3 linked regions of the Arabidopsis thaliana genome follow. The protein of the gene in region 3 interacts with the protein of the main gene of each other region in a pairwise test. Each region holds a gene or a part of one and is shown on either strand. Other genes may lie near its edges.

The links.
Region 1: the proteins of WRKY51 (region 3) and AT4G20000 interact in a two-hybrid assay, tested with the Arabidopsis thaliana proteins (one study listed by BioGRID).
Region 2: the proteins of WRKY51 (region 3) and AT1G32585 interact in a two-hybrid assay, tested with the Arabidopsis thaliana proteins (one study listed by BioGRID).

What each region holds. Positions count from the first base shown.
Region 1 is NC_003075.7:10,836,533-10,839,934, forward strand, and holds AT4G20000 (VQ motif-containing protein), read left to right. Parts: upstream 1-1,777; 5' UTR 1,778-1,834; coding exon 1,835-2,461; 3' UTR 2,462-2,803; downstream 2,804-3,402.
Region 2 is NC_003070.9:11,787,916-11,791,069, forward strand, and holds AT1G32585 (VQ motif-containing protein-like protein), read right to left. Parts: upstream 1,263-3,154; coding exon 600-1,262; downstream 1-599. Other genes in the region: AT1G32583 (tapetum determinant protein), read left to right, coding at 1-188. UniProt on the Arabidopsis thaliana protein: May function as negative regulator of plant defense.
Region 3 is NC_003076.8:25,906,345-25,910,453, reverse strand, and holds WRKY51 (WRKY DNA-binding protein 51), read right to left. Parts: upstream 2,208-4,109; 5' UTR 2,040-2,207; coding exon 1,798-2,039; intron 1,691-1,797; coding exon 1,544-1,690; intron 963-1,543; coding exon 767-962; 3' UTR 573-766; downstream 1-572. Other genes in the region: CLE21 (CLAVATA3/ESR-RELATED 21), read right to left, coding at 4,051-4,109. UniProt on the Arabidopsis thaliana protein: Transcription factor. Interacts specifically with the W box (5'-(T)TGAC[CT]-3'), a frequently occurring elicitor-responsive cis-acting element. Involved in defense responses.

The DNA of each region.
Region 1 (3,402 bases), on a different chromosome or scaffold from region 3:
TAATACAAAATTATAGGCGTATACGATGATAGTGTTTTTTGGTGACTTCTACAAACTACAAGCTTTGTATTTATTTTATTTTATACCTTTTATTGTACACATATAACATATAGTTTATGAACGGGAGGAAGCTTCATCAAATAAACAACCCACCGCCTAATTGACGGGCAAGTGACAGCTCTTTAACGGTAATTAAATTTATTTTAGGGTTTTGTTAAGAATGACAATACATACTTACGCGTGATTTTTCTTAAAATAATCGACGGACAAGTGAATCACGTTGGAATGATATACTATACGATGAAATCGATTATTGAATAATTTAGGTTTTAATTTTATTATAATCTTAAACTTATAACGACGTAAGCAGCTTCTCGTCATTGCTGATCATCACACTTTATATCAAATCTTCAGAAACAAAATTTATAAATTGAGAGTTTGCATCAGTATTTATTTTCTTAATTCTGAAGCAAATATTAATTCAGTGTTTGATAAATAAAAAAACCATGAAAGGGTGTAAACATTAACTACAAATGCATATACTATCGTTAAGATTCGAATCAGTAAGTAAAATTTGGATAATTCAAATCGATTATCTTAATAAATACATATATAGTGTTAGCTTTCTTTTTCAGCTTGTATACTTCTGTAATGATGAAAAAAAAAATCAATATCACCATAGACTTGGTAAATTGCTGGTAAATGCATCATACAAATTTAAAATCATAATCATGAGAAAATTATTCGTTTATAAAACAATATACAAAAGATGCATTGACCAGTAAACGATCAAGAGAACCAAAGAGACAGGAAATCATCAAAGTCAAGTCCTCATATAAGATCATACTTGACGTTATCTCCATTTTTCGCTTTCAAAATTATTTTCATTATCACTCCATCTCTATCCACCTAAACTACTAATATTTTTGTACATATATAAATAAAAATATTGAAATTAACCTTACATACAAGTTAACGCTCTTATGAAAAGCTAGTTTGAAGCCTGACATACATTTCGGTTATTACTAATTTAGTATATGCGATAAAACTTCTGAGGAAAAAAAGATGATACATTACAATTTAGTTTAAACCAACAACATGGTTTGATTGTCATAGATCATTTTGGATATATTTTCCTTTTTAGCAATAAAAATAACTAAATGGAAGCTTAATTTTATTTAGTCTAGGAACTTTTGGTTACAAACAAACTATTATCTTTTTTAGAATAACTTATTCCGGGAGATATATTTAGTTGATTTTAGTACGGTTGATTTGGAGGATGTATGTCATCAAGTTCTCTTCCAGTAGAAAATGATTTATGATTTATTTTTCGTCTATTGAAAAAGTTACAATAATTGAATTAGTAGTGAAAGTTATACTAGTTCAATTAAATTCTTACTTACACTTAGGAAACCCACCATCAAAGTCAAGACTCAAGAGAACAACCTTTTATATAACCAAAAGTGTACAATTTAGCATTAAATAAAATGATCACAATAAAATTTGGAATCCTGGTCTTCATCAATTTAGTGAATCCTCAGCTATTTCTTACACCATAAATTAGTTAAATTAAGAAAAAGATTATGCTAATACTTAAAATTCAAATACTTATTCAACACTCAAATGATTTACACACTGCCCAATTTATTATATTGAAGTTATTTGTACATAAACATATTAAAATCCTCAAAGGTACTAGTCAACGTCAACGACCATCAAGACTTAGCTACATCTCCTTCCCGCATATAAAGTAAAACCTTAATCCTACCTCCTATGCAATGTATACAAGCTACACCAAAGAAAAAAAAAATTGACAAACAAATATAAAATCCCTATGAACAACTCTAGAGAAGACCAGTGGTTACAACACTATGAGCAACAAAATATTCAAGAGATTACTCCGTGCTTCAACGCCATTAACATCGCGTCATCGTCGGGATCTTCCCTTGGAGACGGTGGTGCCGCGGCACATGAAGCTGCTGGAAGGAGATCTAGGGCTTCGAGGAGAGCCATACCAACAACCCTCCTAAACGCAAACCCTAGCAATTTCCGAGCCCTAGTTCAGAAATTTACCGGACGTTCTGCCGGAGGTGAATCCAACCGCAGAAAAGGTCCGGTGACTTTGGATTTCGGGTCTCCCACTACAATCTCCAAAGAAGCTATCTTTCCAGTCTCAAGCGATCGAAGTAATAACAATCTTGATCATGTGGTCAACCAACACGTGAGTAACGAGCAGCGTCACGTGACTTGGTCAGGTACAGAATCAATGATGTCGTATCAGTTAGGCGAGGAAACTAACTCGGCGGTTTACAGCAGCGGGTACGATGATCAAGATCTTCCGAGGGAATACTCCGGGAATAGTAGCTATGATGAAAGTTTGGATCACATGGATTATTATCAAGATTTCCACCGTGAGACGGCAACATTGGAAGAGTTTATGATGAGAGATCTCGATTTATAATATAGCTTGTTTTTAGTCATTAGATATTATGAAGATGATAATAATCATGATCATCATAATGTTACTTAGGGGAAAAACAAGTTTCTTAGAAATATTACTTTACAATTGATTTTCTAATAATATTTGAAGAAATAAATAAAATATGTTCCAAAAACTTCCAATATATGATGTGAATTTTGTACGAATCACTTGAATTCAATTAAAGGGTTACGTTGAAAAATTAAAATGGATTTGGTATGGTGAATTACTTAAAAATTTAAAAAGTTTTAGATCTAGGAAGGAGTTTAGTTAGAGCATCTCCAAAATAGAGTAGTAACTTAATCTTAGAGTTGGTTTTTTCTCCAATCTTATTTTGTTTTGGAGGTGAAAATAAAAATCTCCAAATTTTGATGTAAAATGAAAATACAAAACTCCAAATATGCTGTAAAACAAAAAAAAAAAGACAACTCCAAATATAAATAAAAGTTTGGATATTTCTATTTTGGAGTTAGAAATGAAGATAGGTTGAAGAATTTTTTTATTATCTCAAAATAGAGTTTAAAGATGAATATGGGGGTTGCAGATGGTCTTACCATACTACACAACTCGTTTATGTGTTGTTTGTACCTAGTGTTACTGATAATCCAACTCTGTTTTCTAAAAATTAATTCTAGTTTGCAGTACGTTAAAACGATTTTGATTGATATAACAGATTTGATAAGTATATAAATCGTTTAAATTTCGTATATTCATAAAATAATTTAATTTCTATATTTAACATAATAAATTTAAAATTAAGTAAAACGATTTTTGAAAACAACTTGTATTTTTCACCAATACAACCTTTGAATATCTCAATGCACTTTTTGAATCTTCCAATAATCAATGTAAAAGTACAAAGATTTTGAATCTTCCAATAATCAATGTATAAGTACAAAAGTTATGTTTTCGTATGTGCTTAC
Region 2 (3,154 bases), on a different chromosome or scaffold from region 3:
AGATCCACGTCAGTTGTGGCTGGTTCAGCTCAGTCAGACTGGTTAACCCTCGAGTTTTCAGGCGACTCGACTACGACGATTGTCTGGTTAACGATGGTCAACCTCTTGGTCCTGGACAGTCACTCTCCTTTCAATATGCTAACAGCTTCTCTTACCCTCTCTCTGTTGCTTCAGTCTCTTGCTTCTGATTTTAGATACTATACCAAGTTTGGTCATTTCCACAAGACTCAAAAAATGAGAAGTATTTTGGTATTGTACTTCATGTAGTGGATTAGATTCTAACTTCAGGTAGCAGTTGAACAATGTTGCTAATGTTATTGTCAAGAAAGAGTTATTTAATTTAATGATAAGCCAAAACAAACCTTCATAGTGAGTACCATCCAAACAGTACAAGTTTTTTTTTTTTTTTTGGCAACCGATATTAAGTAGAACGTGCCAAATTATCCACTTTAACATTCAAATCATAAGCTTATAAAATCTTTCTAAACCACTCTTATTATTTTGTTTTAAGAATTAAAATTTATTATGATTTTTATGATATTTGAAATCATGCGAACATTATATTTTAGATTTATTTTTCACGATTGAAAAATAAATTATCAATTTATTTCGTATGAGAATTCTAAATCCTCATCAGGACCAATACTATCTAGATCCGAACCAAAAACTTCATGTTGAGTCATAGACGAAAATGTGAAGTTTGGAGTCAGTGGTAGAGGATATTCATAATCAACTCGTGTTGATTGCAATGAGGAAGCACCATGCATTTCTTGGGTCGAGCCATTGAACCAGGAAGAGGGAAAAGGTTCAAAACCATTGGACTGTGGCATTGATTGTGTAGGATCTTGAGGTTGCGATTGAGCCATCATATGAGAATGATACTTATCAAAAGGTTCTTCGAATTGGTCTCCATTAGATCCTGATGATTCTTCGAGTAAGCTTTGAAGATAAGCCATATACAATGAGACATCAGGATCCTCTTGAACCGCCATGGCACTGGGAGGAATCGAAGAGGTCCAATTTATCGGCTCTGGTCTAATATCTTGATGCTTTGGAATGTTTTGAGGTAAACGGTCACATGGTTGAGGACTCGTTAGTTGTTGAACAAGGCTTTTGAAGTCGTTCTTGTCTATGATGTAGACTTGCACTCGCGGTTGTGTTTGCGCCAGCTGAGGTACGGAGTTAGAGTCAGCGTTTAGTTGGTCGTAGTTACTCTTCCGCTTATTCACTCTCAAGTAATCATTTTGTGGTCGCTGATACATTTTTTAACAACAAGAATGTTTGTCACTCGTTCGCTAGGAAGAAAGTGTGCCAATCATTAGCTAGGAAGCTTCACGAGATAAGTAAGAATATTACACATATATACAACAGTTCTTTATTCATCATAATTCATTTTAAATTCCTGATTTTGCCCACTTTAGTTCTTGATTTATTTCAATAATAAGATGATCCAACTTTAATACAAGGATATTTGTCCTTTTAAATTTGTTTTCCATTTTTTCCATAGAAAGTAGAAAATATGTATCTACAGGTCATTGAAGAATAAAGCCCAATCGGTTTGGATTTGGGCCTGCATCTTTGTGTTGGTTCTGCAACTTTATTGGTTTTTCTAGTTTTGAATAAGTCTCCACCTTTGTAGGAGAAAGAATCGTGACATTAGTTTAGTTGCGAGAGTTTCGTAGCTTCAGTTGCTTTCTTTGTAAAGTCTATTTATTGACTAATCTGAATTCAATGCAAGTAAGAGTTTTTCAGTATCTGTTCTTGCAAATCTTTGTTTTTCCTTAAAGTGAGATTTGATAAAACAACAGTGGTATCAGAGCTTGTCACGAGCTTGGTACAAAAGAGAAACACCATGAGTGAAAAGGAGTCGGTGATCATACCAAAATTCGATGGTGATTATGAGCATTGGGCTATGCTCATGGAGAATCTGATAAGATCAAAGGAGTGGTGGGATATCATTGAGACGGGAATTCCAAGGCCGGAGAGAAACGTGATCCTCACCGGAGCGCAAAGAACAGAGTTGGCGGAGAAGACGGTGAAGGACCACAAAGTGAAGAACTATCTATTTGCATCAATAGATAAGACGATTCTCAAGACGATTCTGCAGAAGGAGACGTCGAAGGACTTGTGGGAGTCAATGAAAAGGAAATATCAAGGGAATGATAGGGTTCAAAGCGCTCAACTGCAGAGGTTACGGAGAAGCTTTGAAGTTCTTGAGATGAAGATTGGAGAAACAATCACGGGTTACTTCTCAAGAGTGATGGAAATCACTAATGATATGCGGAATCTGGGAGAAGACATGCCAGACTCCAAAGTAGTGGAGAAAATTCTGAGAACATTGGTCGAAAAATTCACATACGTTGTGTGTGCTATAGAAGAGTCTAACAACATCAAGGAGCTTACGGTGGATGGGCTTCAAAGTTCTTTAATGGTGCATGAGCAGAACTTGAGTAGACATGATGTGGAAGAGAGAGTGTTAAAAGCTGAAACTCAATGGAGACCGGATGGAGGAAGAGGCAGAGGAGGAAGTCCAAGCCGAGGAAGAGGTAGAGGGGGTTACCAAGGAAGAGGGCGTGGCTATGTGAACAGAGACACGGTAGAGTGTTTCAAGTGCCACAAGATGGGACATTACAAGGCGGAGTGTCCAAGTTGGGAGAAAGAAGCGAATTATGTTGAGATGGAGGAAGATCTGCTTCTCATGGCTCATGTAGAACAGATTGGTGATGAAGAGAAACAAATTTGGTTCTTGGACTCGGGATGCAGTAACCACATGTGCGGTACAAGAGAGTGGTTCCTCGAGTTGGATAGTGGTTTTAAGCAGAACGTGAGACTAGGAGATGATCGAAGAATGGCGGTAGAAGGAAAGGGAAAGCTGAGACTTGAAGTTGATGGAAGAATTCAAGTGATCTCAGATGTGTACTTTGTGCCAGGGTTGAAGAATAACCTCTTTAGCGTGGGTCAACTACAACAAAAAGGGTTAAGATTCATCATTGAAGGTGATGTGTGTGAAGTGTGGCACAAAACAGAGAAGAGAATGGTGATGCACTCAACGATGACAAAAAATCGCATGTTTGTGGTTTTTGCAGCTGTGAAAAAGTCAAAGGAGACTGAAGAAACAAGATGCCTTCAAGTGATCGGCAAAGCTAACAATATG
Region 3 (4,109 bases):
AAGTAGGGTTCGTCTTCCTCCTCGAATAAATCTGAAGATACAAATTTCTCTATCGAAGATAAGAGAAGTAGAGAGAATCTGGATCGAGATCAGAGAGATCCAAGACTCCCTTCGAATTTACTTACTAGTGTTTGAGATTTGGGCGGAAGAACAGATATGAAACGACTTCGTTTCCTTGCTTAAGTTGTTGAAAGGTAGAAGATGAGATCGGTTCGGGACAATCTACACAACGCACCAAAACCGGATCATAAATCACACCGATCAAAATCCATTATAAACCAAATTACCGGTAACAACTAAACCGAAACAGTTGACCTCGTTGACGCTTACAAGTTACAGAGCTGTCACACAGGCTTTTTTTACAAGTTGCTTTTTTCACATTTCCTTCCCGGTACAATCTTAGTCTGACGCATTTCGGGTCAAATGTCGGTTTAATAATGGATATAAGAATACAAGTAATTCAGGTTTTTCTAAATCATTCTTGAGTCTAATCAAATAAGGATTGGATTCAGATCGCAGTATTTTGGACAACCGTGACCCAAAAAAATTCAACACTACTTTTTAAATAAATATACGCTTAAGATTTTATATCTAGTGAGTCAGTGACCTACAAAATGTACTCATAGCAATATACATACATTAAACATTTATAACCACGAAATAAGTAACTCCTTTATTATACACCTATCAAATTATACAAAGCATTGAGATTATAATATTAATATTGTTGGTATCTTACAATCTCAACGAGGATGAGAGATTTGGATTAAGATCGAAGAAGAGAGTGTTGGTTCCAGTTATCATGATCATAAGATAAAACCATTTCATTGTAATAGACATTAGAGAGACTCTCATGGTTATGGACTCCTTCATATGTTGTAATTACATAAGCTGCATCGTCACCATCTCTCTCTACCCTCTTCTTCACCGAGCAACCTTCACTTGAGCATTTGTAGTAATTCCTTTATATTATAAATTCATCCACCACATGTTAAATTGTAATCACTTTTATAATATATCGCACCAAGTTATATATATATATATATATATATATATATGTATGTATATATATAAGAATATCATTAACCAATTACAGAGTGTGTAAATTGCTTTCAAACCATGCTTTGAATGAAAGTGATATGTTTAGATGATGAATTCATTATATTTGTTTCTCTTATGATATATGAGTCAAAATAAATCTATACGATGACTGATTATCAACCATGGATTCATTGATCCATATACCACTAATCAATCAATTTTGCTATAGGAACCTTTTATATATTTGTATAAACAAAACACACATGCATGATGTATATAGAAGCTAAATTTTATTCCAAGTGGGTTGGTAGATAATACGGGTCCATTAAATAGTATTCAAATCACTATATGGTCTAGCTAGCTAGTGGCTATATATTCTATAACAACAGGATTACAAGATGGTTATAGAAAATTATCAAGCAACCATATGTTATGTTAAAAACAAGTACTAGTAAAACATATTAATTAGATCAAATGAGTAATTTGTAAATGAATAAGTTACCTCTTGTTAATGTTGTTTTTGACAGATTTCTTGCCATACTTCCTCCATTTAAAACCATCATCCATCACATCAATCTTCGATCTCGTTCTAAATGCAACTCGATGACCCGTCTCCTTCGTCTGATCACTCTCTTTACTTCCTCTATTACTACAATATTTATTATCAAAAAGATTAATGAATAAAACTATATATAATGAAATACTAATTGCTTGGTTAAGAATCTTGCCAACAATAATAATTAAAAAGGAACTCACGTTGATTCCTTTTTACTCAACGTTGTTGCGCTGCCGGATCCGCCGCTTTCCCCGGTAAATGTCTCCGACGAAACGATGCTTGTCGGAGATGAGATCTCTTCCTCGATTAATCCATTGTTACCTCCTTCATCTATGTCAAAGAACATCAAATTTGAGAAATCGTTGTTATCCATAAACGGATTAATAAAGTTTTCATCGGAGAAGTACGTAAAATTAGGGCTAGGGTTTTGAGAGATATTCATTTTTTTTTGTTTTTGAAATAGAAAAAAAAATAATTGAGAGAGAGAGAGAGAGAGGTTTAAAGCATCCAAGAACTAGAGCAAGTGAAGAAGAGAAGAGAAAGAGTTATAATGGTCAGTTATTTATATAAAAATGAAAATTATTGTAACAAGTTTTTGTTAAGAAAAGAGGATAATTAAGAGATAAAGATTATTAAACAACTACTACTTATGTCAAGCAATTTCAGGGTAGATACTAGGAAGGTGCTTCAATGCCACGTGTGAAAAAAGGAATATGATGATGACGTCATCTGTTATGACGTATGGACAGACGTTAATAAGGGTGGCGAAAAGTGAGCTTCCACTTAAAGTAATTGTTTTTTTGCTTGGGCTTTACGGGCCCATTTTAAGAGATTTTATCGTCTACATTAGGTAACGTTGATAATTGGATTTTGGTCTTTGGATCAACGGCTGAGGATTTAAGTTGTAAGTTTGCTTATGCTGCGTTTGAAGCAGACAGGACTTTACTTTACAGTGCACACCAAGACACAATAAGATTTGACTTATTGAATTATGTAAATGTAAATTATACTATTAAAGATATTGTCACAAACTTTATTGATTTCTTTTTGGCCTAACTTTTATTTAGCAAATCCTTCAAAATGGTTATCTCATCTGGTCTGGTGAATCCACATATATATATATATATATATATATATATATATATGCAGATCAATATGATTTCGAAAGTTATAAAATTCCGTCTGTTTTTTTACCAAAGATTAACTCTATTAATTAACTAGCTTATAATATTGTTAAAAATCTTATATAAACTATACTCCAATATTGATGGGAAACAGCAAATGCGTTTTTTAATGTTGGCAACATTTTATATATTTTATTTTTTCTTATTAGTCGTTTTTTGTTCTTCCAGAAGTTTTGGCACATTGCAATGTATCATCATACATATATGAATCGTTGACCCACACATATATCATATATGTATGACCAAGTTTTTTTGCTAAGTCTATTCTTAAGTCAACGATTCAAAATTTCAAAGTGGTCTTTTAATCTTGTCTTAAAAGGTAAGACGAAATTTCTTGGTGCCACTCTTAATTGTTTTTGTAACTACAATAATATTCTCTCTGTATTGTGTTAAAACAAACATAAAAACTAATTAACTGAGAATAAACACAGAAACATGTAGTGTGGCTCTGTTTTTAAGAAACACATGACTGGAATCATATAAATATTACCTATTTGAGTGATTTTACATGCAAATGATTAAAAGTTTAAAATCAGATAGTGTTAAAACTTAAACGTTTGCACAAAAAAATGTGTTTTAACTATGATTAACTAAAGTAATTAAGAAGAAGAAAAAGCAATAAAATATAGTATTTTTTAAAAAAGAGGCTAAAATATAAACTGAAAGACTGAAAAAGAAGGGCGGCTGGCCAAAAGTGAAGGAGTGTGTTAGTGTGGGGTTCTAATTGAAAGAACCCCTTTTTCAAGGGGAAAATCTGAAAAAATAAAAAATAATTACATATCTATATTTTAGTGAATTGCTTTGAAAGTGATATATGGACATTTATTAATGAACACCAACCACCTATCAGCTAAAACAGAAAAAAAAACAAAAAAAAAAGATGAGTTACAAGTTACTGACCTTTATATATACAACAATATACCTTATTAGTACGTAAAAAAGAATAATACTGTATTTTGTTAAAACAAATTACAATGACAAAAGAAAATTCACAAAAACGTACTTTTACTCAGTTTATTCTAACATATCACGATATTTTTTCGATTCCATTATTTCTGTTTGCCATATCGTTCCAGCAACTTTGAGCATACAAAATTTAAATGCTAGAAACAATTGAAATTTATCTCATACTATTTTAGAGTTTCCAACCCAACCTAATTAAAGACTATTAATCTTGAAAAGTAAACTAACTTATAACGATACATATATACACCAAACGAACAATTTACGAAGTCGAAGTATGTTGCATCTTTCTCAGTAGTCAGTACTCTACTTGTTGTGCAAAGGATTTGGACCTGTGGGGATAGATCGTTTCTCTTCTTCTTCCT